Xenopus tropicalis: one gene and its partners. The protein of the gene in region 1 interacts with the protein of each later gene in a pairwise test. Links are inferred from orthologs where the notes say so. Each region holds a gene or a part of one and is shown on either strand. Other genes may lie near its edges.

What was found.
Region 2: the proteins of lzts2 (region 1) and kat5 interact in binary tests that used the Homo sapiens proteins (3 or more experiments, as listed by UniProt). The two-hybrid records come from large-scale screens. The link is inferred for Xenopus tropicalis from reciprocal best matches to the Homo sapiens genes LZTS2 and KAT5.
Region 3: the proteins of lzts2 (region 1) and rad51d interact in binary tests that used the Homo sapiens proteins (3 or more experiments, as listed by UniProt). The two-hybrid records come from large-scale screens. The link is inferred for Xenopus tropicalis from reciprocal best matches to the Homo sapiens genes LZTS2 and RAD51D.
Region 4: the proteins of lzts2 (region 1) and c1orf109 interact in binary tests that used the Homo sapiens proteins (3 or more experiments, as listed by UniProt). The two-hybrid records come from large-scale screens. The link is inferred for Xenopus tropicalis from reciprocal best matches to the Homo sapiens genes LZTS2 and AIRIM.
Region 5: the proteins of lzts2 (region 1) and tnip3 interact in binary tests that used the Homo sapiens proteins (3 or more experiments, as listed by UniProt). The two-hybrid records come from large-scale screens. The link is inferred for Xenopus tropicalis from reciprocal best matches to the Homo sapiens genes LZTS2 and TNIP3.
Region 6: the proteins of lzts2 (region 1) and prkab2 interact in binary tests that used the Homo sapiens proteins (3 or more experiments, as listed by UniProt). The link is inferred for Xenopus tropicalis from reciprocal best matches to the Homo sapiens genes LZTS2 and PRKAB2.
Region 7: the proteins of lzts2 (region 1) and usp2 interact in binary tests that used the Homo sapiens proteins (3 or more experiments, as listed by UniProt). The two-hybrid records come from large-scale screens. The link is inferred for Xenopus tropicalis from reciprocal best matches to the Homo sapiens genes LZTS2 and USP2.

Annotation. Positions count from the first base shown.
Region 1 is NC_030683.2:29,793,038-29,796,537, forward strand, and holds part of lzts2 (leucine zipper putative tumor suppressor 2 homolog), read left to right. Parts: intron 1-2,307; coding exon 2,308-3,012; 3' UTR 3,013-3,500. UniProt on the Homo sapiens protein: Negative regulator of katanin-mediated microtubule severing and release from the centrosome. Required for central spindle formation and the completion of cytokinesis.
Region 2 is NC_030680.2:37,908,523-37,912,754, forward strand, and holds the start of kat5 (histone acetyltransferase KAT5), read left to right. Parts: upstream 1-1,432; 5' UTR 1,433-1,440; coding exon 1,441-1,449; intron 1,450-2,027; coding exon 2,028-2,094; intron 2,095-2,639; coding exon 2,640-2,708; intron 2,709-3,849; coding exon 3,850-3,986; intron 3,987-4,232. UniProt on the Homo sapiens protein: Catalytic subunit of the NuA4 histone acetyltransferase complex, a multiprotein complex involved in transcriptional activation of select genes principally by acetylation of nucleosomal histones H2A and H4.
Region 3 is NC_030678.2:94,397,372-94,401,527, forward strand, and holds the start of rad51d (DNA repair protein RAD51 homolog 4), read right to left. Parts: upstream 2,801-4,156; 5' UTR 2,664-2,800; intron 757-2,663; 5' UTR 744-756; coding exon 662-743; intron 1-661. Other genes in the region: keratin, type I cytoskeletal 9-like, read left to right, coding at 3,231-4,013. UniProt on the Homo sapiens protein: Involved in the homologous recombination repair (HRR) pathway of double-stranded DNA breaks arising during DNA replication or induced by DNA-damaging agents. Bind to single-stranded DNA (ssDNA) and has DNA-dependent ATPase activity.
Region 4 is NC_030678.2:86,153,920-86,158,201, forward strand, and holds the start of c1orf109 (uncharacterized protein C1orf109 homolog), read left to right. Parts: upstream 1-1,482; 5' UTR 1,483-1,724; coding exon 1,725-1,900; intron 1,901-2,671; coding exon 2,672-2,944; intron 2,945-4,035; coding exon 4,036-4,215; coding exon of another isoform or gene 4,216-4,231; exon of another isoform or gene 4,232-4,262; intron 4,263-4,282. UniProt on the Homo sapiens protein: Part of the 55LCC heterohexameric ATPase complex which is chromatin-associated and promotes replisome proteostasis to maintain replication fork progression and genome stability.
Region 5 is NC_030677.2:71,474,019-71,477,518, reverse strand, and holds part of tnip3 (TNFAIP3-interacting protein 3), read left to right. Parts: intron 1-680; coding exon 681-746; intron 747-2,546; coding exon 2,547-2,633; intron 2,634-3,500. UniProt on the Homo sapiens protein: Binds to zinc finger protein TNFAIP3 and inhibits NF-kappa-B activation induced by tumor necrosis factor, Toll-like receptor 4 (TLR4), interleukin-1 and 12-O-tetradecanoylphorbol-13-acetate.
Region 6 is NC_030680.2:118,092,965-118,096,927, reverse strand, and holds the start of prkab2 (5'-AMP-activated protein kinase subunit beta-2), read right to left. Parts: upstream 2,801-3,963; 5' UTR 2,696-2,800; intron 863-2,695; 5' UTR 848-862; coding exon 686-847; intron 399-685; coding exon 241-398; intron 1-240. UniProt on the Homo sapiens protein: Non-catalytic subunit of AMP-activated protein kinase (AMPK), an energy sensor protein kinase that plays a key role in regulating cellular energy metabolism.
Region 7 is NC_030683.2:80,112,306-80,116,381, reverse strand, and holds the start of usp2 (ubiquitin carboxyl-terminal hydrolase 2), read right to left. Parts: upstream 2,801-4,076; 5' UTR 2,491-2,800; coding exon 2,380-2,490; intron 1-2,379. UniProt on the Homo sapiens protein: Hydrolase that deubiquitinates polyubiquitinated target proteins such as MDM2, MDM4 and CCND1. Isoform 1 and isoform 4 possess both ubiquitin-specific peptidase and isopeptidase activities.

The DNA of each region.
Region 1 (3,500 bases):
ATGTGGACTCTCTGTTCTGTATAACATAGTTCTCTCACGGGCCAGTTATTTTTAAAGGGAAACTACACTACTACAATGTTGCTTGCACCATCAGAGGAAAGTTCATCTGCAGCTTTTTTTGTAGTCATCAGGGCAGATGTTCCCAGGTATAGTGCTTTGCACACAAATCAACAAGGAATGACGCAATAGTCCTGCCACCACGTGCTGCCCGCTGAAAGTGCATCGGGCGATTCCCGAGGTGTTAAACCCGGTAGTCTCTCTTGCTGACCTTTGGGTGGAGCTGTCGGGCAGTAAAGCTTAAGTCTCATCAGAACTTAGCTACTCATCTGCTGTATCTGCTGCAGGTACAAAAGCTGGGCCCAGTTACCAAATTACCCAGCCATCTTTCATTTAATTGCAGTTAGAGGCATTCAACCTATGGCTAATAGTGATAAGGCGCCTAATGATTTGTTTAAGCATTTTCTTACTTGAGTTGTTAGTAAAGTTTATTCTGGGGAAAAGCTAAAACTACTTTCTTTCTGATGGTATTTTGGACATAATGTCACCCTAACCTACATCTGGAGAATCCTTATTGTCTGCATAGTCCCATCAGCAACATGTTCTATATATAGGTCAGGCTGCCTTATTTACAACTATATGTGTTTCCAAAGAGCAGAGATTTCCTTTAGCAGGAAATTCAGTAAACTAAATTTTATAGAATTGAATCTGTAGAACTCTTTTACTTATGCGTTTCCCACAAACCAATGCAATTACTGCCATTTCATTCTTTGTTTTATTGCAAAACCCCAAAGCTCTTTACTGGCACTTCCACTTGTTATGGCCTCTAAGGAGCGCAAATGCATGGACCTAAATAGCTGCTTGATAATCAGTCTTGTCATATAAAAGACACATCGATATCAAAGAAAATATCATGGGGAGGGAGAGCTGAATGGCATATTTCAAGGTTAAAAGAAGGCCTGTTTCACTGTGCACACGTCTATTTAAGGCTGTTTATCTTATTTATACATAAATACAATATGAATATGAGATCTAATTTAATATAAAATGAATGAGATCTAATATCCAGAAACCCATTATCCAGAAAGGACCTAAACAGTACTGCCATCTTCCAATGTTCCATGGAGCAGTTTAAGGGAAATATGCATATATATCCTAATGGTTCCATTTTTTCCTCTGTAATAGGAATGATGGTAACTAAGCTACCATAAAAATATATATTGGTGGCAAAGTAACTCTTTTGGTTTTTTACATTTTTATACTTCTAGATATGGTATCTATTAGCTGGAGTGCTCAGAACCTGGGGTTTCCGGATAAGGGGTTTTATTGAAATTTAGATCAACATACCTTGAGTCTTCTAAAACCATGAAATTAACCCAATAGGATTGTTTTGCCACCAATATGGACCCATGCAGCTTAGTTACCATGAAATGTGAATAAATGTTTACATTGGACTGTATGGGGGACGGCTTTTCTGTAATTCAGGGCTTTCTGGATATTGGGTTGGTTTCTGGATAAGAGATCTCATACCTGTAATGTATAAATATAAAGGACTCTGTCCTATCATTCACCTTAATGTATTTCTGTGAACATATAGTGTCCATCATAATTAGCATTCAAGCGGTTTCTCTCCGTATTTATCCACTGCTTTTGGTCCCCTTAGGACTAGTCTGAACCACATTTTAGGAAATTATAGCCTAATTGATGTTTCTAGTGAATGGATTACCTTAAAAAAGCACCCAGTGCCAGAGGCATTAATACAGTAACATTCATTCACTGTAAGCACTGACACAGTAACACTAAAAAATACGTTTTTGTAATGAAAATATAATGTAGTTTTGCCCTGCACTCGTAACAGTGGTGTGTTTGAAACCCTACTATAGTTTATATGGAGAAAAGGAGATAACCAACAGGCTCTGTAGTATACACTTTAATTATACTACTGTTATCTGCTGTGTATCCTGTATCTGAATGGCTGCCCCCATTGCTTACACAGCAACTGTGTAGTAATAACACCCCTGTTATACATTATATTAGCATTCCTAGTGCAACCAACTGCTCAATCCAGGACCCACAGTTCTAGTCAGTTGTGTCTGGCATGAACACGTTTTAGGGAGACAGAGCTCAATAATAAAACAGCACCAGAGTATTAAAGTAGAACGTTGGACATTTGCAGCAGGTTCCGATACCGAGAGTAACCAATCAGATTGCTTTCACTGGTGATTAGAAGATGCTGCTTTGGTTGATAACAGGCTACTAAAACTTTTCCCAACTTTGCAGCTATTAACAGTTCCTATGTAATTCTCGTAGGTTTGCCAGAAATCTGGTGAAATATCATTGCTGAAGCAACAGTTGAAGGACTCCCAGGCTGAGCTGGCACAGAAATCTAATGAGATACTGCTGCTTCGGGCTCAGGTGCGAGAGGCTCGATCCGACCTCCAGATCAGTGAAGAGCAGGTACAGGAGCTGCAGGACACGGCGCACACCAAGACACTGGAGCTGGAGGTGTGCGAGAATGAACTCCAACGCAAAAAGAATGAGGCAGAGTTGTTGCGGGAGAAAGCCAGCAAGTTAGACCAGGAAGTAGCCGGCCTAAGGGAAGCAGCAGTAGCCAACCTGCGCCATGGACTATGCCTTTGCCATGAAAAGGAGGACCCTTTCTTATTATATGAAAGTGACGAGGCCAAAGCGCAGCGGCAGAACGCAGACAACCTGCAGGGCTTGCAGCAGTATGTGGAGCGTCTCAGGGAAGCCCTAACAAGCGAACGCAGGAGATATCAGGAGCAAGCTGACAGCTTTGAAGATGAGCGGCGAATATGGCAAGAGGAAAAAGAGAAGGTGATCCGTTATCAAAAACAGCTGCAGCATAACTATATCCAGATGTACCAGCAGAACCGCGAGCTGGAGAGGGACATTAAGCAGCTCTCCTTAGAACTGGAGGCAAGAGAACTGGACGAGTTTGACTTGCACGGGGCCGAAATCCAGTTTGAGGAAATCACAGCTACAGAAATCTGAAGCCAGTGAATATGCAGAGCTACCACAAATGCCTTTATACACGCCGACAACATTCCAGCCAATGGCTTTGCCAAAACACAGCTACTAAACACTCACACAAGCTCTTCTTCATTGTCACTCAGACTTACAGTGGATAAACCATACTCAGTGTTTTGACAGGGAACCATAGGTTTATGGACTGCACATTAACACTACATGCAACGAGATTTCTAATTGGCAGATCTTGAACACTCATACAAAGTATAGTATTAAGGAGCCATATGTATATATATATATATATACTGTATACCTGCTCACAAGTTATACTATATGGACCAAAGGAACTTGTGTCATTGAATAAGAAATGTATGATACTATGTACAGCACTTATGTATGTGTTTGCATAAAAACCTGCTCCCTTGTCATGGCGTGTAACAGAATTTGAGGTACTGTCATGGAGCACAAAGGTGCCATTATGTTAAGTCTGTTCAGTACTTTTCAGTATTCCT
Region 2 (4,232 bases), on another chromosome or scaffold:
GCTCTAGTTAGATCATACTGCCATTTGAGAAATGGTCCTTGTGTGACTCGAAACATGTGCTAATAAATTGGCCAACAGTGTGATTTTCAGACTGTCTGTGGGCTCTGAATTATTGTCCCAACAATTTTCATACCATGGCAATTGGTCGTTTAGTTGGACAGGTTAGAAAATTTCTGTTGCATAACAACATTCTTTATATAGTCTTTTTTTATGTTTAGGAGTGGATAGGAATTAGGTGATCAACCCTATGCATGCAGCAGGACTTTTAACCTCATCAGTGCTTCTGCTTTAAAATGTTACCTTTACAAAGCCTTGCAATTAAATGCAATAACAGTTATACTAGAAAAGAAAAAACACTTAATTCTGTTTTGAGCCCTTTTTAGCATGTTTCTAAAGTCCGATTATAGATCTGCTCTGAAAAAGCTGAGCATTTCTTTAATATGTTGTTGTTTCAAATTCATTATATTCATTATACACTGGGTCCCACAAGAAAATGTTTTTTTAGGCATTAAAACTTTGAGGAAGATGTCAGTTTCTCACAGATAGAAATTATGCATTATCCAGAACCCTTGCCTGGCCTGTACATTTCTTGATTCCCAAGCAACCACTGGGTTATTGTTGTTATACCTCCGGGTCCTTGTGTCTTTGCCTGTTGCTACTAAGCAGCTTTCACTTACGTTTATATATACAACAATAAATAGAGTATATTGTCAGTCCATGAGCTGAGGTGACAGTAAAGCAGAGCATATTAGAACAATGCCCATTTGATCTTACCTGTTACTTCACTGCTTATCAGAAATTAATTTTATATATTTGTGTTAAAGTTACAGAAGTTAATCTTCTGCCTTAGCTATTGTGGTTCCAGATGATCAATAACGTAATTTATTTCCATTACATACAGCATAGGTCATTTCTCACTAGCCATTGCTTATACAACACACATCAAGGAAAAGAAACAAAGGCATTGGCATAACCAGAATTTACTGGGACCCACATCCCTTTAGAGTCCCCTTTGATGGGAATAAATGTTTCACACACATTCGCAACCAACCTCTGTATACTACACTGTTTTTACTATTACACACATGCGTAACTCCGTTTACGGAAGTGTTTTGGGCGGATCGCTATCACTGGAACGCATGGTGCGTGTCAAATCGAAAAAGGGGAAACAATTACCGCCTTTTTGCTATTGCTGCCCAGGCGAATGCCTGGTAATTAATACTATATTTATATTTGTCCAGTATGCTCCAGTTATTACAAAAAATATATTTCTTTAAAATTTCATAACCTGTTCCAAATCAAGGACAAAGGTGAGTTTTAGAGGCTCGTAAAAATGCTATGCTTATTCCGGCGCGACTTCTTTGCCCTTCGATACGGTTGTCAAGGAAGGGGGAGGCGGCTGCGAGGCTGGAAAGAAGGAAGTCGCTTTAAAGCAAAATCATGGCGGAGGTAAGATTTATTGTTTAGCTCTTATCGCTATGTATGCGCAATTGTAGGTGATATTTCCACAGAATATAGTTACATGCAAAGCGTAGGATACGAAAAGGGGCTGGAATTTTGCGTTATCCATTTCTTTTATGTCAAGAGAACCTCTCTGTATTATGAGGCCATAGAAACATTTAATCATATTGACCAAACATTGGCTGTCGCTTCTTGCATGGCCGTATATCAGCTGCTGTGAATGCAAATTCCAATTGCTTGTAAGGTTCCCCATTTATATTCCCCATTAATGACCATGTTATGTCAGGATTTCCTCAGACAAATTACTGCATCTTGAGCCATATTACATTTGGTTTTCTATATTTGTTTTTCAGCTGATCTGTCTAGGATTTATTTCCTCATTATTACTCCTTTTAGATGTGCTGTTAGTTATTGTATCTCACACATTGACACCTTTTATGTTGTACTTTATTATTTAAAGGGGACATAAACTGTCAGGAACAAGTATTTGCCACTACATTATACAGCCATTAAAATAATACACTGTTAAGTTGCCCGTTTCTCATTTATCCGTGACTGATTTTCAGGCAGAGATTGTGGAGGGTTGCCGATTGCCTGTACTTCGCAAGAATCAAGATAATGAAGTTGAATGGCGTAAGTACTACATAGCTTGAAACGCACTGTAATAAATATTGCAGAAATATAGCTTGTACAGGTATAGGACCCATTATCCAGAATGCTCGGGACCAAGGGTATTTCGGATAAGGGGTTTTTCCATAATTTGGTTCTTCATACCGTAAGAAAAAAATCACAAAAACATTCATTAAACCCAATAGGACTGTTTTGCCGCCAATAAGGATTAATTATATCTTAGTACAGATCAAATATAAGGTACTGTTTTATTATTACAGAGAAATAGGAAATCAATTTTAAAATTCTACATTATTTGATTAAAACAGAATCTATGGGAGATGGGCTTTCCGTAATTCGGAGCTTTCTGGATAACTGGTTTCCGGAAAATGGATCCCATACCTGTACTTGTTTATGTTTACAAGAGTGTAGAATTCTGTGTGTTTTTTATTTATATGGTGAATTTTCATTCAGATGGTTTGTGAAGAAGCAAAGAAATAAAATGTAATTCATAATAAAATATACCGTTTTTGTAACCACTTCTTTTGTCTCTGTTTAATCCTCTCTAGCACTTGCTGAAATTCTGAGCATCAAGGAACTTACAGGGAAGAAACTATTCTATGTGCATTATATAGACTGTAAGTTTATATTTAAATATGGAGTTTAATGTTTCACTTAGTATTACATATATCCTGCATATTACATATAGTAATATGCAGGATACATGGCTTAAATAATGATATGTACTGAAACTAGGCTTGAGCTGCTTAAAGGGGAGCAATCATGAAAAATGTTTTTAGAATATTGAAAATATAAAATCTAGACAAACATTTTGACAATGTATAGCATTTAGAAATGTTGCACTGTTACAAAGTTATGGCTAATTATTGAAGCAGCCTCCCATTCGCCACCCTCCAGAATCTCTGTGTGAGTGACAGAGCATAGTGAAAGCTGATTTGCTGTGGCATGTCATGAGGCTCAACAGCAAACATGTGCAAAGGGGAAGTAAAGGAATTGAGCCGGGCTGGGCTAGGGGCTGATGAAGCTGCATTTGTACATATAACAGCAAAGCAGCTTATTGTTTATATCCTTTATATCCTCATATACACAGCACTTCTGACTCTTTTGCATTCAAGATTGTGCTGCTCACCAGCAGGCTTAGATCAGCTGCCAGTTGCCCTCTTGCAATTTACACATGCAGAAACAAATTTTTATTCAATACAGGTGTGACAGTTGTGACAAAAGAGTGTATAAAAGACACTCCCTCCATACCAGTGACATACCTATTGCAGCAATATTTCAGACCTCTGCACAGGCAACTGTGTATGTACAGGCACACAGATTCCTGTATGTTGGATTCACAGACACCTATGTCGTCAGAGCCCTTCTGTAGACTTTCTTTCAGGCTTCTTGATTGGCCAGCCAAATCAGGCCCACTTTGTCAGTCTGTAGCATTTACTCTGCTATAGCTAGTCCATGTCTTTTTTTAGAAAATGCCATATATTCTGTTATCAATTAGCTTGCATATTATAATGTAGGGATGCACCGAATCCAGGATTTGGTTCGGGATTCAGCCTTTTTCGGCAAGATTCAGATTTGGCGAATCCACAGTCCTGGTGGAACCAAATCTGAATCCTAAAATTCATGTGACTTTTTGTCACGTAAACACAGAAGTTAAAATTTTTTAACCTCTTCTAATTCTTATTGCTAGCATTTTTTTCTCTTGTAAAATTATTTCAGTCTCTTTTTTTTACTTTTTTACTCTATTAATCCCCCCAGTTAACAAGCGATTAGATGAGTGGGTTACTCATGATCGTTTGGATCTTAAGAAGATTCAATTTCCAAAGAAAGAGGCAAAAACTCCAACAAAGAATGGACTACCTGGATCAAGACCAAGCTCCCCTGAGAGAGAGGTGGTAAGTGCTTGGGCACTCAAAGAAACTGGTCATGTCAATCTGTCTTGCAGGGATGATGTTGACCATAACAGTTATCCCTGCACCTTACTACTAAAATAAGTGCAACAGAAAGTAGCAGGTAGTATTGCTTTAGCAGAACTAATGCCACTCTGCTCCTTTGGGCTTTGGGAGATATCAGTTTCTTCCTGTGCCCTCTTTAAAACAAAGATACCTGCATGTTCCTCCCTCTTCTCCAAGTCATCCAGT
Region 3 (4,156 bases), on another chromosome or scaffold:
ATAGGTTAAGAAGTCTACCATTATTCCAGAATAACTAATCAATGATAAATGTAAGTAAGCAAACAGTTCAAACCAGAAGAAGAAGCTAAAAGATTTCACTTCTTAAATCGTAAGCTCTTGTGAGCAGGGCATTCCACCTGTTGTCTCCTAATAATATGCAATTGTAACTGTGCATCTTTTCTGGTGAAATATTTGTTTGTGCGTGTAAAGGGTTAAGCCTTATAATTGTATCCCTTTATTTTGTAAACCGCAGATAATATTATGGTCCAACCCTATGAATTTCTGCTATATCTGTGATAAACATTTCCAGAAAAATCACCTAGTAAAGTTGTTTTATAGCATGGAAAACAAATTTTCTTTAATGTTCCAACAGAAGAGTCAGCTTAGATTTCGAGACCTACTCTTCTGCAAAAAGGCACTTTTGCTGCTCTATATTCATGATCTAGTGACAGCCCTTGAAATAAATGAAACTGGGGGTAGAGTTAGCAGAACACAGTTTAGCTTGACATTGTTAAGAGTGAAGCCTGGGACAATTACAAACATAGGGACGACAGCAACAAACTCCTTCATTTGCTCACAACCTGTACAGAGAGAAAACAAAACTGTATCTAACAAATACTTTACATAATGACTGTGAGGTTAAAGTGACTGTAATTATTACCTGTTTTTACATTGTTAGCTTTAAGTACAGCAACTATACCAGCTGAGAGTCCTGGACAAAGTCCTTCACGTAAGATCACCATGGTTTCAGCTCAGCTGAGTTAACAGAGAGAAAAAAAATGATTATCGTATAAAGTATTTTACCTGTGTATCATATCAATTCTTCATAAAGTAAGTATTCAAAATACCCACTGGATGCTCTGTCTGTCAGTTACTCATGTCTTTGGGTATTAGCAATAACACAGATTTGTCCTTTGAAAAGTATATACAAACTGTCATATTTCTGCAAAGTTATGCCCCGTATGCTTTTTTGAAAGGATACCAAAACAGTTTTTGACAGGAATCATAGAGCCCTGTAATAATTACTGTCCAATTTAAATATTGCCTGCTCACCACTGGTCTAAAACATCAGCTGAAAGGCATGAACTAGACCTCAGCAGCAGATTTGCACATTTCAACCCATGCAAAAACAAATGTGTGTGTGAGACCGGGGGAAGTAACTTCCATGCCACGTGGGGAGAATTATAACAAGGAACACTGAAGCATCATAGTGGAGCATAAACATCACTGTGATGCTTTAGTGTATCCTGTTTTTTTACACTTAGATAGCTTTGGAATGCAGGTCTGGGTTTGCAGGTCCAACATTCTAATCTACCTTTAACTCAAGGCACGGAAGATCGGGGGAGCAGGCGAATTCAGCATTACTGTAAGTGCTTATGACTGTATTTACATTGACCATTCTGATAAAGCTTACTTTATTTTTACCTTTCCTTCTCCTCTAAAATGTAATGTGCTGTTGCCTTGTACTGGTCAAAGTTGTGTGTTTGCCTTAGGAACCTTATAAATACTCTACTGCAGGGGTAGGGAACCTGTGGCTTGGGAGCCAGATGTGGCTCTTTTGATGGCTGCATCTGGCTCGCTGCCAAATCTTTAATAAAAAAAAAATAATGGGGGGTGTGCCCTGCACTCGGCAGATAGAAGACGTGTTCTAAGCCTTAGAACACGTCTTCTATTCGCCGAGCGCAGGCCACGCCCTCCTCCGCATCGCATCCGGCATCCTTGGCACCCACCCTACCTTGCCCCTGCACTCGGCGGATAGAAGACGCATTCTAAGCCTTAGAACACGTCTTCTATCCGCCGAGCGCAGGCCACTCCCTCCTCCGCATTGCATCTGGCATTCTCGGCACCCACCCTACCTTGCCCCTTCGCTCAGCGGATAGAAGACATGTCCTAAGCCTTATAACACATCTTCTATCCGTGGCGCGCAGGCCACGCCCTCCTCTGTAACACATCCTCGGCACCCACCCTACCTTGCCCCTTCGCTCGGCGGATAGAAGACATGTCCTAAGCCTTATAACACATCTTCTATCCGTGGCGCGCAGGCCACGCCCTCCTCTGTAACACATCCTCGGCACCCACCCTACCTTGCCCCTGCGCTTGACGGATAGAAGACGTGTTCTAAGCCTTAGAACACATCTTCTATCCGCTGAGCGCAGGCCACGCCCTCCTCCGCACCCGGCATTCTTGGGACCCACCCTACCTTGCCCCTGTGCTCGGCGGATAGAAGACATGTTCTAAGCCTTAGAACACGTCTTCTATCCGCCGAGCGCAAGCCACGCCCTCCTCCACTTGGGACCCACCCTACCTTGCCCCGCAGAATCCGCGGCCAAACATATTGTATGGCTCTCATGTAATTACATTTTAAAATATGTGGTGTTTATGGCTCTCTCAGCCAAAAAGGTTCCCGACCCCTGATTTAGGGTATCATTATGTGTCATGTGAATGCAAAAACCTATACTAATACATGCCAACAGGCCACAATATTTGAGGCTATGTCTCAGTTTAAAGTAATAATTTTCTATATATACCATTTGACTGAAATCCAATCAAGTACTGGCCTTAGTATATATGTATGTATGTATGTATGTATAACTATGGTCCCCCTGCAGTCCTCGCCTCCACCATATCCCCTCACCCATATCCCCTCACCCATATCCCCTCACCTGTTGCAAACCCTTGCCTGTTTACTTCTGAACCTTTATGCCATATAATCCCTGCACTGACTCAATTCTACTTTCAGATCTCCCGCTCCTTCTCTGGATGCTGCATCTCCATACAGCGAGGAAGTTGTGCTGGTGACAGTCATGTGACAAGACGTGGGCGGGGGAATGTGATGTCACTTGAGGGAGTGCTTAGCTGTGATATCACAACTTCCTCAAAGCCAGTCTTTGGAGCTGCTGCGGCCCATGCAGAGGAGGGGGTAGGCGATCTGAATGTAGAACTCCGGTGGCTCAGGTTTCAGATGCCAGAAAGGTACATCAATACACAAAAGAAGGGTTTGCAAGAGGTGAGGGCTGCTGTGAGAGGGAAATGGCGGAGGTAAGGGCTGGAAGGAGAGTAAGGGGATCTACGGTGGGGATCTCTCTATGTACTGTACTAAGTAGCTGAACTGAAAGAGCAAACTGATATAAACATGACTGTTTGGGGGGGGGGGGGGGGGGGGGGGTTGGGCATAGTGTGAAATGTACAGTGTGTTTGGGGGAGCAGTATGATGGGGAGCCCAGGGTGGTATGTACAGTGTGGCTGCTGGGGGAGCCCAGGGTGGTATGTACAGTGTGGCTGCTGGGGGAGCGCAGGGTGGTATGTACAGTGTGGCTGCTGGGGGAGCGCAGGGTGGTATGTACAGTGTGGCTGCTAGGGGAGCCCAGGGTGGTATGTACAGTGTGGCTGCTAGGGGAGCCCAGGGTGGTATGTACAGTGTGGCGGCTGGGGGAGCCCAGGGTGGTATGTACAGTGTGGCTGCTGGGGGAGCCCAGGGTGGTATGTACAGTGTGGCTGCTGGGGGAGCCCAGGGTGGTATGTACAGTCTGGCTGCTAGGGGAGCCCAGGGTGGTATGTACAGTGTGGCTGCTGGGGGAGCCCAGGGTGGTATGTACAGTGTGGCTGCTGGGGGAGCCCAGGGTGGTATGTACAGTGTGGCTGCTGGGGGAGCCCAGGGTGGTATGTACAGTGTGGCTGCTGGGGGAGCGCAGGGTGGTATGTACAGTGTGGCTGCTGGGGGAGCCCAGGGTGGTATGTACAGTGTGGCTGCTGGGGGAGCGCAGGGTGGTATGTACAGTGTGGCTGCTGGGGGAGCGCAGGGTGGTATGTACAGTGTGGCTGCTGGGGGAGCCCAGGGTGGTATGTACAGTGTGGCTGCTGGGGGAGCGCAGGGTGGTATGTACAGTGTGGCTGCTGGGGGAGCGCAGGGTGGTATGTACAGTGTGGCTTCTGGGGGAGCGCAGGGTGGTATGTACAGTGTGGCTGCTGGGGGAGCGCAGGGTGATATATATGGTGTGGCTGCTAGAATGTAGATTATTATGTAAAGGGGATTAGGGGAGTGCAGAGTGACATACTCTTGTGACATACATGTGTTTAGAAAAATAGAAGGTGCACTTTATGTTAGGCATTATAAATACCGTGGATTAGGTGTTTGTCGTTAACCTTGTGACATTGA
Region 4 (4,282 bases), on another chromosome or scaffold:
CATACATACATACATACATACATACATACATACATACACACACACACACACACACACACACACACACAATTTTGAATTGTTTTTTTATGGTATTACCTGCTTCGCCTGCGCCCTTGGTGCCGGTGAGGGGATCCCCCATCGCTGCTTCGAGGGCTTGGAGTTCGCCGGGTGCGGTGCTGCCTGACGGGGCTTATCCTTTCCTGTTTTATAGTTACTGTCTCCGGGCTGTGTGGTCTCCGCTTCCTGCCCCTATCATCCTCCTCATTCATGCTGGCACTATAATCTTTTCACAAACACACACCGAGAAGAACCAAAATGTTAAGCAATCTACCTTCTCTATAAACCGGAAACCACCGAACGTTACCTCCGATCCGGAAATAATTCCCTCTTATTTAAATATTTTTGGGATTTGTAGTTTCTAGCGATTTATCATAAAATATCCTTTATAGCAGCGCCGACAAATCAAAATTTACGTTAGCTACTCTCATGCACAATTATGGTATTAAACCAACTTAAACTGCAATTGTTACCAAGGAAAATAAGGAATAAACAATTGTCGCGCCAGTCACCTCGATAGCAATAACAAGACTTTAAACTACAATTCCCTTCATGCCGTGCGGCTGTAGGTTTCCATTTCCGGCTTTAAAAAAAAAGGTGAATGTATTCACGTTGCAGTTGTGCTAATGATAGCGGGCAAGCTAAGCAGCTTTTCCAGGTCTGGTGAAATACGTGCGTTTGAATTGGGAAGTTGACGCTGTTTTTATTTTACCTTTTCTGTTCTATATGACATTATATATGACATTGTTTGTAATGCTGTTTAAGGACACGAATCAATGTAATACGGATAGCCTTACTTTTTTCTTAGTAAATAATTGAAAGCAATACTGAAATATATCACCTTTTATATACATTTGAGCCGATGATTCGCCCTTATAAAAATAATCTTAGATTTATTAATGTTATTCTGGTAGTGTTATGTAGAACATCTTCCACTGTGGTAACTGCTAATATAGGGGTGGATATACTTATTTTTTCCTGTAATCACTGTTCCAAGCATGCAACAATGCCTCTGTTCCTTACAACTCCTGGCAGTAACTACTGCTAGGTCTAGGTCCAACTTTTCCAGCAAACAAATACCAGCTGTACCATATCTATAGATTTTTTTTTACCAACTATGTATAAAAAATAAAAGAAAAAATGCAGCACAGGTAGCCATAGGTTGTTTAACCTTTAAAGCAGGGGTCGGGAACCTTTTTGGCTGAGGGAGCCATAAACACCACATATTTTAAAATGTAATTCCCTATAATATGTTTGGCCGCGGGGCAAGGTTGGGTGGGTCCCAAGGATGCCGGTTGCTGGATGCAATGCGGAGGAGGGCGTGGCCTGTGCTCGGCGTATAGAACATGTCTTCTATCTGCCGAGCGCAGGCCACACCCCCTGTTATTTTTTTTTTTATTAAAGATTTGGCAGCGAGCCAGATGCAGCCATCAAAAGAGCCACATCTGGCTCCCGAGCCATAGGTTCCCTACCCCTGCTTTAAAATAAAACAAAAAAAACTGATACCCATAACACTGGAAGTACTAGAAAGCCACTCCCATAATAGGTAGAACTAATTAAGCAGTTTTTTTTGTTAAAGTTAACAATACTTTATGGCTTAGATTTTATCGGGTGCCACATATTACTGATCATTGCCAACATAAAGCGATTTTAAAACAATATAAATTATGCATGTGTGCCAAAATCTTCGAGTCAGAGCAAATCTGATAACAAATGTTTGCCTAATTGCTGCTATTATAGATTTGCAAGCAATTTTAGCATTGGTGTCCACTCCCTCTGAAGTCATTTGGCCCTTGGGTTGTCATGATATGACACATCAAAACGCACGGATAAATGCCAGCGGGTATGTACCCATAATCTGGCCTATTGTTTTTAAAATAAAGGGGACATATTGTGTGAAAAACCATATTGTGCCAATGATTTGTACTCATCTAAATATAAAAGAAATGTGCTTTAAAAAGTAGTGTTTGGGGCTGATTTATTGATTTTATTTATCTGTTCCACTTCTGGCTACCTCCTTTCCCAGGTTGTTCAGGGGAGGCCAGCGGCACTCAGCACACTATATAGGAACCAATCAGCAGCTAGACTGACCTGATAGGGAACTGAAGCCTGTCTTTGCCTGTGTGACTGCAGGGCTGTGATTGGCTCTCCCCCTTTTACTGTGCTTCTGGCAGGGACTATTAGAACATGCCCACCTCTCATCTGAAACACGGACAGGGACCTGAGAGGATCTATAGGGAATTCCAAAAAGGGACAGTTCTTACAGATAGTTTTAATTTTTATACCAAAGTAAAACCAGCCCCATATATTATTCATAATTGTCTACAAGATTAAAGTTTATGTAATTTATGTCTCCTTTAAGAAATGTTTGCTGCAACTTAGTTTAAACATATGCCTACTTCTCTAAGACATTTCAGCATACATTTTACTATACTGAGTTAAATATTACTAGGCTAATGTGAGTATATCTTTTTCAAGGGTTTAAATACTTAGAAAGGTGTTGTGTGTTTTTGCATTCATAACGCTGTATAACTGATTTGTTGGCTTGAGTTTTATTTTAAGTGCAAAGCATCAGATTTATGACATGTATTTCACCAGTTTTATCGTTTTATAGGATGTCTGAGAAACCAGCCTTTGTTTCCGTGCAGCAATCGCTGAGAAAGTCCTTTGATGCCATAGAACCACTGCATGAAGAATGGAATAATACACTTTTAGAGTGTAACCCACACCTAACTTCTTTAAGTAATCTAGCAGAACAGCTACAGGCCTGCCAGAGAGTACTGTTTAAGAAAACCCCCCTGAGCAGCTTTATTAACCTGCAAGAACATCTTCGTTTTAAACTACAAGCAGCTATGGAGTTTAATTTGGAGATCTTAAATCAGAAGTTGTAAGTCCAATGTGTTGTTGGTTCAACCCTTCCGGTGCTGGTATCACCATGCAAATTTTTAGATAAGATACAAGCATCACTTTACATGTACATCAGTTCTGAAAACACTGAATTACTTGCTTGTCATACTTAATGTAGATATCTTTCCATTGACTGACACAGCTTCAGTGTGTATTGTGCTACACTGAGCGGATATCAGCACGAATAGGCATACTTGAGTGTTTCTGCGCCAATATCCGCTATGTGTAGCTCCACACAGGCAGACACTGCCTGTTAATGGTTCTACAGGAAGGAGCGCATGACAGTGGATCCACTTTCCTCTGCCTGGGTAAAAACTGCAGGTGAAAGAAAGAGTATCCGCTCCATGTTCCCTTACCTTAAATCTACTCTGCTGAGTAGATATAGCAGTTGTTAGTTCTAAAGTGATACACTGCTAAAAGAATGGATTTTGGACAATACATTCTCATAGGATGCACATTTTTTTGTACTCGGCAGGTTTTGCCTTTATAAATATTCTTATATTTTTAGCAGCAATTTTCTTCTTCCTCAATAAGAAGAGATATGAAATGGCGTTGATACTCACACTTGCATACAAGTTACAGGTTAATTTATTTTGTATGGAAGGTTTATATCCCCACAATATAACCTCAAGCTGGTTGGTTGTATTTCAGTGTGAAGTACATGATTGTCAGTTGTGTAATCACTACCTTTTGGTTCCCACAAAATCTAACCAAATCAGTAATAGGTTTAATATTTTCCTACAATAAATTATTACATTGTGACTACTAATTGCACAGTACTAGTTTTAATCACTTTATACCTTTTACTCTCAGCAGGATATTGCAAAATAATCACATACCCACAGCAAGTTAAAACATGAAAGCCAAAGGTCTAGGTTTTTGGATGTGTGTAATCTGTACAGACTTGTTTATGGCCTAATACAAAATGCTATTTACATTGTTGGGCATTATCACAGGCAGTAAATATTGTAGGTTGCCAAACTGGGCATCAGATTTTCACTTGAAAAAAAGTATTTCCTGAATACAAGGATTATCTACATTTTGTAACTCTTCAATTGCTAAATTTTACAGGTCTACGCTGCAGAGAATAAGGGACTCTGTAAGTCAGGTGGTTGGATCTGTCCTCTACATGTATGAGACAAGCATTGAAAAAATTGGTCTTGAAGCAATTTTGGAGCGTTCTTCTCTCTGTCCTTCCATAGCTGACATGTTAGAATGGCTACAAGATATAGAGAAACATTACAGAAACCAGTATCCTTTAAAGTAGAACTACTAACAAGTCCTGCCTTGAGACACAAGTAGGAATCCCTGTTCCCAT
Region 5 (3,500 bases), on another chromosome or scaffold:
GGACTTGGTCAAGGCAGTTTTGATATTCAAATATTAAGAAGTATGGCATTGCAGGAGAATGACCTTTTGTTCTTAAACCATTGTATTGTATGAGATCTGTGAATACAACACCACCTGTGTTTGGCATCGCTTTATTCATGAGGGGACCCGCTCATGAATACAACACAGGTTTAGGAACCCCTATCAGTTCAATTAATAGTTACTATGAAATCTTTTAGCAACCCCTCTGGCATTTGCCAGAATCTACAGATTGCCTCTATGGGCCTGTTCAGATGCACAAGTCAGGGAACGCTGGTAGACACTGGCTGCAATAAAGCCCTGTATTTAACACGTGGCCTATGGCATTTTAATTCAGTGTGGGTGCAGAGGCAGCAATGAACCTTCCCCAAGTCCAAAGTGAATAAGCACTAAGGGGCACTGTTTTGCACCCATTATTCCACCTGCACCTGAACTAATAAATGGTTCCTCATGTCTCTACACGCAACAGGGTAAATAAAGAGCACTGTTATAGGCACAGTAGCAGAACTGGTCTGGAAATAACACTCAAATACAGAAATTGTATAGTTAAGGAATAAAAGCATATTAAGTTGATCCAGGTGTTTATAAAAAAAATGGAAACAATTATTCAAAAACGACTGTATTATTAAAATTAAAATACTGTATTAACATTCTTATTACAGCTGCTTCACGTGAACAGGCAGTGGGATCAACAATTTAGAAAAATGAAATTGGTTCATGAAACAATGGTAATAATTTGTTTGTCTTTTTCACTTCCTTTAGTGAGAAATTTCAAAGTTAAATAACAAGAAAAGGTGAACTTATCCCCGGGCTGGAGATCCTTTTATGCACAGTACCATGCCACCAACTTACTTCCCCAGGCATCCCTCTGCAGTCTTAGGGGCTGATTTACTAATCCACGAACGTCCGAAAAGCGCCCAAATGTGTTTTTTTCGTAATGATCGGTATTTTGCGATTTTTTCATCGCCGTCGCGACTTTTTCTTAAATTGTCGCTACTTTTTCGTAGCCGTTACGACTTGCATGAATTGTCACGACTTTTTCGTAGCCGTTGCGAAAAAATCGGAAAGGTTTGCCCGCCGTTTACTAGCGCTCAATACGAAAAAGTCGCAACAATTCGCGCAAGTTGTAACGGCTCCGAAAAAGTTGTGACAATTCGCGCAAGTCGTAATGGCTACGAAAAAGTCGCGCCGGCGACGAAAAAATAGCAAAAAAACAAAAAAGTCGCAAAATGTTTGTTTCCAATCCGATTTTTTCCCATTCGGAACTCGGATTTGTGGATTAGTAAATCAGCCCCTTAGACTCACGCACACAGTACATTTTTCAGATCTCAATAACATATTGTTACCCCCAGGTAAATTCAGCTTTCCTTGTCCTAAAGGCATGAAATGCATACTGTTATTCACTTTGAAAAATATGATTCCATGTTTCATAATGAAGAACAATTTTTTAAATATTTTTGTCACTGATATCAGATCTTAAACAGAGTAAGTGTAAAAATAGGAAGGGCGTAAAAAAAGAGAAGGGTATTAATGAGTATAGGAAATAATTAAGTTTGCACAGTTGGAGTTAATACAGAAATAAATAGAGACAAAAGAGGGTTTCAGATGCATAGAAGATAATATAAAAGATGGCAATACATGAAGGGGCTGTGTAAAAAACAAGGTTAGAAGAAAAAGGAAGGAGATCAAAGGCAGCATGTTTGTTATCACCTCTGCTGTGTTCAGCCATCTTTTATCTTGTGCCTTAACAAAGCCCACCTGGTCTATTGTGTTCAATGAAACTACAGATAATATATATATATATCATATATATTAAAAACAGTACAAATGTGCTAAATAATGAAAGGCTGTGAAGGCTATGGCATATAGGCAGTCAGTTTTAACTCCAGGGGGCACATTTACTAATCCACGAACAGACCGAAAGCGTCCGAATGCGTTTTTATCATAATGATTGGTATTTGCGACTTTTTCGTCGCCGTCGAAATTTTTCGTATTTTGCGCTACTTTTTCATCGCCGTTACGACTTTATCGTATCGCAAAATACGATAAAGTCGTGACGGCGTCGAAAAAGTCGCAAAATTTTCGTTTCCAATCCGATTTTTTCCCATTCGGGATTCGGATTCGTGGATTAGTAAATGTGCCCCCAGGTGTGTTAATCAATTAGCTTCAGAAGGAATTCTGGGAAAAAGGTCCAGGATAGCTTCAATTACAATATTCCAGGAGTCAGAACTAGTACAGAGAATATACATAGCAAGACAGACACAGCTTTTAATAACAATTACATTTAAAATAACCTTAAAACCACTGAATATTTTTCATCAATGCATGTCATAAAGTTGGTTACAGTTGTCATTACGCAAAAAGAAAAGCAACCCCATTGCATGGACTGCCATGTTGCTAGTCTAGTTGGATCCTGTATATTGCTTGCAATGGGATCAATAGAGGCTAAAATAAATCACGTCATGTTTTGAGTTAACATAAACAACACTTGTTAATTTACCTCTGTACTCACCAACAATTATATTCAGGTCTCACAACTGAAATTGAAATCATCTTCATGTCAAGGAGAAGACATATTTAAAGAAGAGAAGCCTTTAAAGAATAATAAGCAGTTGGTAAGTATTTTTGCAATAAAAATGATTTACTTCAGTGTTTTACTTATTTTTAAAATGTTCTAGTTTGAGCAATTTTAAATAGTGACAGAGAAAAAGAGGCTAAGATATATGTGGTGTTTTTAGGTACACTCATTGCTAATGATTCAGTTCATAGCAACCGCATCCAAAGGAAAAAATACTGCCAGATTCGGTACACAAATAAATACACCAAAAAACAATATATGGGAGTGTTTTAAAGTTTTACTTTTTTAAAAAAAAAATATTACTTTATTACATACAGTACATACTGTGCACTGGTGCTAATTATAACATTTACTACCCTTTTTACCACTGGTTAATTGGTGGCTAAGTACCTTTAAGGTTTAAAAAACCTATATTAAACCTATATGAAATTCACGCAAATTTGCACATATTTGTTCTTTTCACAACATTTTTTTCTCCTAATAATTTTAGTTTGAAAAAGTGTCAACATTAGATTAGTGCTGTTCGTCTTATTACATGTAGAGGGCAGATTATTTTTTCATATAGAATGTTTGAGGGCCGGATTAAATTCAAATTCTGATGTTATACAGTGAGGTCTATGGAGCCTTCGAACTATGAGCAGACTGTGGGCCATAAAAATAAAACAATGAACGTATATGTAGTAGGTGGACTGCTAAAATACCCACCGAAACAAAGTTTGTAATGAAGTGAATCCTGACTCATAGGAATTTCTACAGAACCACAAAATATACACTTGACTTGGAATCAAAACCAAATTACAACTAGCTAATACAGATATGGATCACCCTTTCAGATTCCCTCAATATTATTACTTGATCATGGCTATGTCGAGTTACTTTTTTTTTTTTTTGTCCAGTTATTATT
Region 6 (3,963 bases), on another chromosome or scaffold:
ATAGCTTTTAAGTTAATAAATATTTCTATAGGTATACATGCCCCTGGGCTGCTTTCATTTAAACAGGTGCCACTGTGCAAATAAAAAAGCTACCTGTTGTTAGGGAAAAAAATATTAAGCCTTCCCTGATATGTTTAAAAAGTATGACTTCTGCCCAGCTAGAGAGTTACAGGTAAGACAATCATGTAAACTAAAAAATACAAAACCAATATATGCCTATTTTTATGTAAGTTGTACTACCTTTTAATCAGTGGAATTTTGGCAGTCCAGTTGTTAAATGACCCAGATATGAAGACTTCTTTGCCACCTTCTGTCCAACGGATTACAGTGGGACGACCTTGCTGAGCTGATTTTCCAGGATCCTCTGATTCCTGGGGCCACGTTGAGTCACCAGGGTGCTGCATTGCCAAAATGTAAATTAGAAATAGATTTATAGCTCGGGAAACAATAACTTGTGGGTCTCCAGCTATTGTTGCTATCTACCTTTTGTGTCAAGGGATTTCTCAGAAATGTAGTTCAACAGCAGGAGGTCCACATATAATAAACTCTTTAGAAGAAGCACTATGGAATGTATTTTTGCATCCCTTCTAACACTAGCATTCGGGTCATAGTAAATGACCCCTATGGCATTAAAAGATCACATTCCCACTCCAGTCTCATATAGCTTTTCAGTTCATTGGAATACCTTAGATTCTTGAGTACTAAAGATATTTGGGTCGTCTGTGCTTCCAACCATGATTTTGTTTTCCTCATGCTCCTTAGTAGAGTGTCCCCCAGTTGCTCCATCTGCACGGTGGGACTTGCCATGCCGATCTCCAGATAAGCGATCACTTGCTGTGTTACCCATATTTGGCTCAGGCCACTGCAAAGCAAACAAGTTGTGGTGTAAAGTGTATTTTATATGAAGGGGAAATATGTAAGAGAGCCAAAAGTACAACTAATAAATAGGGTTAATATGGCTCAGGCTATTGTTTTAATTTTGAATCATATATCTTATTTAAGCTATGCAAAGAAAGCATGGTTTATCTTTACACAGCTTCTGTGTCTAGAAATGTGCAATGCAAGTCAATGCAAGGAGAGACAATGACCTCAGTATGATATATATCAGCCTCAGAGTGCCTGGAGTTTAAGAAATAAAAAAGAAAAATAAGCAATGGGTAACTGTAACACTCATTCTCACTCCTTTACTGGAATGAATGAAGGGCTCTATCACATGGGATCTGTATGTTCTTTCCATGCTTGTGTTATTTCCTCCAGGTACCCCAGTTTCCTTTCACACTCCAAAAATATGAACTGGCTACTGATATCATTGATAGGAACTTAGACTGTAAGCTCAACTGGGGCAGGGACCGGGTAGTAATAATAATAATAAAAAATATAAATAATAATAAGGCTATTCACTACAGATTCACTACAGTTTTTTGTCTTTTATCATTTACAAAAAATGGGAAATATTCTTAGACTGTAAGCTCACACAGGAATGGCCCTTCCCTTATTGCCTCCTACCAATAAGCAATTGTATATGTGTATTGTATCCCTAATCCATACTAGCTTTGCATGCCTTGTATATTAATTTTTTCCTTATTTTTTTGCTTTATATCATTACATAGTTTTTTTCTATATGTAGCTGGCTCTTTGGTTCATGAGATCAAGGACAGTGACATCTGATCTCAAGATGGAGACCTATTCATGTATCCCAGCATTAGATCCTTGTGACCTTGCTGCTCCAGTTATTGCACCCAAACAGAGCTGCCATAACTTTGGAGATGTACTTTGTATCCCCAGAAAAAAGCAGCTCTATAAATCCAGTTCCATTCTATTTGTTGAATGGGATCTCCACAGGAACTAAAGGTTGAGGCAATCTCACGTCAGTAGCAAGGCTTGGGCTCAGTTCTCTGCACAGGATAACAGCATATTGGTAATAGGTTTTAGTGAGTGTGGCCGAAATTGCTGCGTCTGAGCACGTGTTGGAGCTTGTGTTTTAAAGGAAATGTGAACCCAAATATACGAATCTTCCATAATGAAACAAAATGTACTAAGTAACTTTCAAATATACAGTAATAACCTCTTCACTATTCTGGGACATAAAATCGCAGTGTCTGTAAATCCGACACCTGGCAGGAAGCCTAATGGGAAACAGGACACAGTAATTAGCAGTAATTTACTGGCCAGCAGCATCTCTAGAGAGTGACAGGCACAACACAAGGACTAGAATATGGGGTTTAGTTATATACAAACACAGCAGCTACCACATATTACCCAGAGCTCCTTAGAGCAAAGCACTGCAGTTCATTTAGCAGCTTGTGTATAATAACTATGGCAACAGCAGTGCCATGATACAGAATTACTTTGCCCTCTAACTCCATTCCGCTTACCACAAAGGCTACTTTATTCCATTGCTCCTTTTATTAGTACAATACATATATCAATAGGCATCACCCAGGACTTATTTAATATTAACACATCAGAAGGACCTGTATATTATAGAGCAGTTACCTAGGAACTACATGAGAGTGAATAGAAATATAAAGCAAGGAAGCCAGGAGGGAAACAACAACAACTTGACAAGGAAATATTCCCATAATGCCCTGCGCCCAGCGCTGGCATCTAATGTCATTTGCTGAGTAATAATTACACAGAACGATGTACCCTATTTACTAACAGACATGTAGTGTAGGATGCTAAGGAAACTTACCCCGTTTGCTGCAGGTCCCTCTCCCTTGGAGTGAGCGGGGTAGCCCCTGTGCAATGCCGGGAATAGCTCTCAGCTGTGCTCTAACCGTGACACATTGCACAGCCGCTTGTCACACGCAGCAAATAGATTGTGTGGCAGACGAGCCGGGCAAATCAGCACCACTTGCAACAGGCCTGCATCAGCGATTCATCTCTCTGCCATCTAGTGGAGGGAAGCTGAGGGGAAAGTAGGGCTTGTGGCACGGGTAACCCTATAAGCACTGGATCAAAAATCCCCCAAGGCGATTTAGTTTTCGTTTCCAACGTGCTATATAACAATTATATAAATCATCTTTTAATACATACGCCTAGTTGTGCAAGTCATTGTTTCCGGTTCAAGTGGGTTGTTCTGAGTATTTAGGGTTATGTTAACCCATTATAACCTGCTCTGCACAGAAACAGGGCCTTATTGTTTGTATGTAGGTATATCTTTATTTACAAAGCACTACTTATGTACGTAGCACTGTACAGTAGAATATATTAATACAAACAGGGGGTTAAGTTAATAGATAAATACAATGTATAACATATTATTGTGTCCGGGAAATGCCCTCCCCGCTATACGCAATAGCGAGTGTACAAAAATATTGTGAAAATGACTCTCTGTCGGTTGGTGCTAGAGTATAAGCAGCCAGTGCAGTTGGTCACACTACATACCACTAATGGAGTAGGTATGTAAAGAAAAAAGCGTTCAGTTTACAACATAAATAAACAGTAGCACTAAAGTAAATATTTGTATGTATGTATGTATGTATGTATATCTTTATTTATAAAGCGCTACTTATGTACGCAGCGCTGTACAGTAGAATACATTAATACAAACTGGGGTTATTAAGATAATCGATAAATACAAAGTATAACAATAAATACAAGATAAATACAGTTGCAATAAGTTAAGAGTCAAAGACACAAGAGGATGGAGGTCCCTGCCCCGTAGAGCTTACAGTCTATATATTTGAAATTCTCCAATGAGCTTTTTGGAAATCTCTGATGTAAATATCTAAAACAACTGCTGTAATATGTCCTGTGTGATTGTATCTATCTTTTGCCCCTGGAAAGCTGGGGAGGTAGGTTAAAGCGAAACATCTACGCTACCATAAAACTAGCAATGCCACTTAATATGGCAAGCCTCCACATAAAGTACTGTAACTGACACCAGCAAAGCTGACCATATACATACTGATAAAACCATATATGAAATGATTTTCAGTGTGCGCAGATGGTGGCCCA
Region 7 (4,076 bases), about 50 Mb from region 1:
CACAAAGGAGGACTGGCATCTGTTTCTTTCTTCATCTGTTTCTCCTGGCGAGTCCCTAAAATATCCAGCACTTGCAGAATACGAGAAATGGGGACAAACAAACTACACATATCAAACTATTTGTGGATTAATAATTTAGACTTTACTCTTACTTTACTTTTTTCCTTTTTTTCTTACTTTTTTCTAAACTTTATACAGCACTGTGATGTGAATAGGGGGTAAGAGGTGACCTTTGTTGTAGTGTTAGCTACTTAAACCGAATTCCAAGAATTCCTTCACTCCTGGCTGCTAATCTCTTTCTTACTTGTAAATGGTAATGGTATGCTCGTTACTATGACACATGCCAGAATGGAGCATGGGTGGTGCTGGCTGAGCAGGCACTGCAATTAATGACATCATAAGAGGCTGGTTTTGTTACCAGAGTAAAATGTAACTGAATGAATGCAGCGATATAACTATAACCTGACAATCTATCAGCCATTTCCCTGCAGATATTCTGAGCCTTAGGGGGAGGTTGCTATGCACTTCTGGCAGTCAGCGCTTTGCAGGTCTCCTTCGTTTGCATTCATACATTGTCCTATAGACTTGGACTCCTGCCATGTGTACAGTGTTCTGTCAATTAATATTTTTTCTTTAGAGCTGAAGCTGGGAAATGTGATCTATGTGTGGCACTGCACTGCAGAGATTTACTTTTGCTCGGTTAATCTACAGGCTTTTTCTTTGCCACCTCCTACCAGTGTCCCATTTTCACTTTAGAAGTGCAAACTGGAATTAGCTGGTCTTAGCTAGCATTCTACAGGGTCACAGAGTCCAAAGCGTGAGAAGGTTGCTGGGATGATAAGCATTTTCTAAGGCTGATAAGCAATCTTCATTCTAATTCCTGCTCAGCCATGTGCGCAAAAGAATAAATGTGTGCATTTTAAAATCTGTTTGCTCAGGTCAGAATGAATGCAAAATGTTGCATGTGTTTACGCAAAACATTCTTTGGGCACACTTGTTGTGTGCTGCCCTCCAAATGTATGTGCGCCAGCAGGAGTGCACATCTTAGAGGGAATATTGCTGATAAGGATCAATCATATTCTGTAATGTTCCTTCAATTCTCACTAAAATCTTGCAGAAACCTTAATAGAGCTTGGCATCATGACACAAGTGTTTCAGACAAGTCCCACTTTTCCATATTTTCTTTCTATTGCTGCATTGACAGTTACTAAATCAGGACACGTTAGAGAGAGCTGAGTTGATCTCTAAATTCTGGGGTTGCAGAGCTGACCTTGGGCCAGGGGCAGGATTGTAAGCATTCTGCTGACGCTTGGAGTTATAGAGTTCACAAAGATATAACCCCTGCTCCTTCAGATAAGCACAAAGGGTGATAAGTAACTCCCTCCTTCCTATGAAATTTGTCACATTTTTCTTGGGGAAACAAACTTTTTGCTAACTCCACTTTTTTAGAAATAGTATTTGCTAAATATGAGGAACGTTCAGTTTTAACTCAGGTATCTAAGACCATGTCCACACTTTTGCTCATATTTTGAACTAGTTACATTTTTTCACCCTATAGTCACCCTATAACCAATGTTTGTATGTATGTATAACTTCATTTATAAAGCACTAATCTAAGTGTTGTCTGCTTTATAGGTTGGTGACAACACAATGTCACTACATACAACAGGCTCCAAATCAATTTTGCCACACCACATGATTAAATACATACTTCTGTATTTCTGTGATTGGCTTTTTTTCAGCCAGCTGCAGGTAGAACAATGACTGCAACATTCTGATTGGTTGCCATAGATTACTGTTCATGGGCAAATTTGGCAACTATTGTTAACTGAACCCCACAAATACATGGGTTGTCACAAAGCCCTTTTATCATTACATTAATTAAAACATTTTTCCACAACACCTAAAATGTTTGAAACTGGCAAAATATAAAAAATCCTTTTAAAGGCAATATTGCATCCCCTAAAAAGCTGTCAAATGTATTAGTGAACATTCTATAATCTTGCAGAATGTATATTCTCTATATTTACATTTTACAGAAACTGTTGCACTCTGATTACCTACCACCTGACAGGAGGAGTCCCTACCAACCCCTGTAGACTATTGTTAGCCCCCATACCAAAAGGAATACATGGAAAATAGGTAAACTTGGCAATGCCGTTTAAGTTGTGAACACATGGTGAGGCCTGCGGATCATGAGACTGCACCGCAGAGAATCTACATGGTGTACAAAGTTTAAGCTCTGTCCTTGCACGTATCATTTGACTTTGCTTATTTTAATTAGGAAAACTAAGCTGTCTCTTTCCCATTGACTATTCCTTATTCTGTTGATAATCTCTCCAAATCTTCCCTTTTTTATCCCTTTTGTAGATATCTCACCTTTGCTCTGTGGAGCATGAAATCCACAATGCTGGAAAGTATGACTGTTCCGGGTATTTGGTGCTCTCTGCCAGCACCTATGCCATGTATTCTTAGAGTGTGGGTACGCATCTTGAGTTTGGGATGGCTGATGAAATGCTCTGATAAATTCCCACTTCTGGATCACTCCTGGTTAGATCTTGGTCTGTACTCTAGGAAATAACTAATCCTGGTTCTGCATTGAAGCTGGCTCTAGAAAATTACTTAGAATTTGTGCAGCTTTGATTTCAGAGCCTTTTTCTTGAAATAATATTCAGTTGCAATATCCTATTCTTGGTGCTGCTGATTTCTGCTGGCACCAGAGAAGCAGATCAGGGTTACTAATTCCTAGTGCAGGATTCTTGGTTTTTCAAAGAGGCACAGTGTGACCTGCTTCCTCTCCAGCTATTACAGCCTCAGCAGGAGGAGACGGCTGCATGTGGAATTTGACAAGTTCCTGACGTCAGGTGGGAGGAATAGAAATACATACTGAGCACATAGTGATCTCTCCCTGGGAGGTGTGTCACCTACTTAGTCATGACACAGAGGTGTGTGCCTGTGTGTCTGTGTGTGTGCGTGTTAGTGCCACAGGACACAGAGCTACTTAGATGACAGGCCAATTATTATTGGTGTGCCCGATATGTACAAAAATAAAGGAATATTTAAATTTCACAAAGAAAAAAAATCAGATGTAATATAACGATAAAAAAACAGTGCAGGAAAGATTTGCAAATGTTGACAGAGATTATGTGCTGGATAGGTCTAACAGAGTCCGTCCTTATTTTTTAAAAGGTCTCAATTAGAATTTCATGGACTCCCCTATATAAGTATTGAGTCCTGCTCTGTCCCTTAGTTACATTGGGGTTTTTGGCTTTTGACAAGTTACTGGCAAGGTGGTAATAACCAGGTAATATCTGGTGCAAGTTCAGCTTTTGTTGCTTCACAGAGAACATGCTCTATGCTGCTGTCAGTTACTATGCCTAGGGGCTAATGCACAATATGCTGTATACATATGTATATATGTAAAAAAATAAGACTGTTAATAGCACTGACTGTTAGTTTGTGCCACCCTAGGCCCAGACCTTTGTGGCATTGCCACAAATCCGGGCCTGCTCAAACCAGTACAATTAGCATCAGAATTAAATAACCGGCCTGGTAGCATAAGTTTTTATGACAGGTGAACCTCATTTTCTGCTTGAGAATTTGTGACAATCGCTAAGCTCAGCCTCTGAACAGCTTCCCAGGGAACACTGAGCATGTGCGTGTCATTGGCACTTCTAACAAAAGGCAAGATTTGGAGCTCCTGTGAAGTGCTAGATCATTATTTTGAACAATAATGCTGAACATTTAGGATAATGCAGTAAGTTCTGTATATAAAATATGGCATTTCTAGCCATTTTAGTTTTTCTTTTAGAAAAGACATATGATCAATACTTGCCTACCCATGGCTATACACACACCAACCCCATACTGTATCATACAGGCTAAAACATCAAGCCTATCCAACTGACAAATTTACAATATACATATTACTGAAAATTGTAATTTCATATAATTTTATTGGTAAATGTATGGCAAATTATTTTACAGTACAAGGGGACTACTATAGGCAAGCAGCCATGAACAAGCCCAACATTACCATGTACTTAAAAATAGAATGCTTACAATCACATACAAAA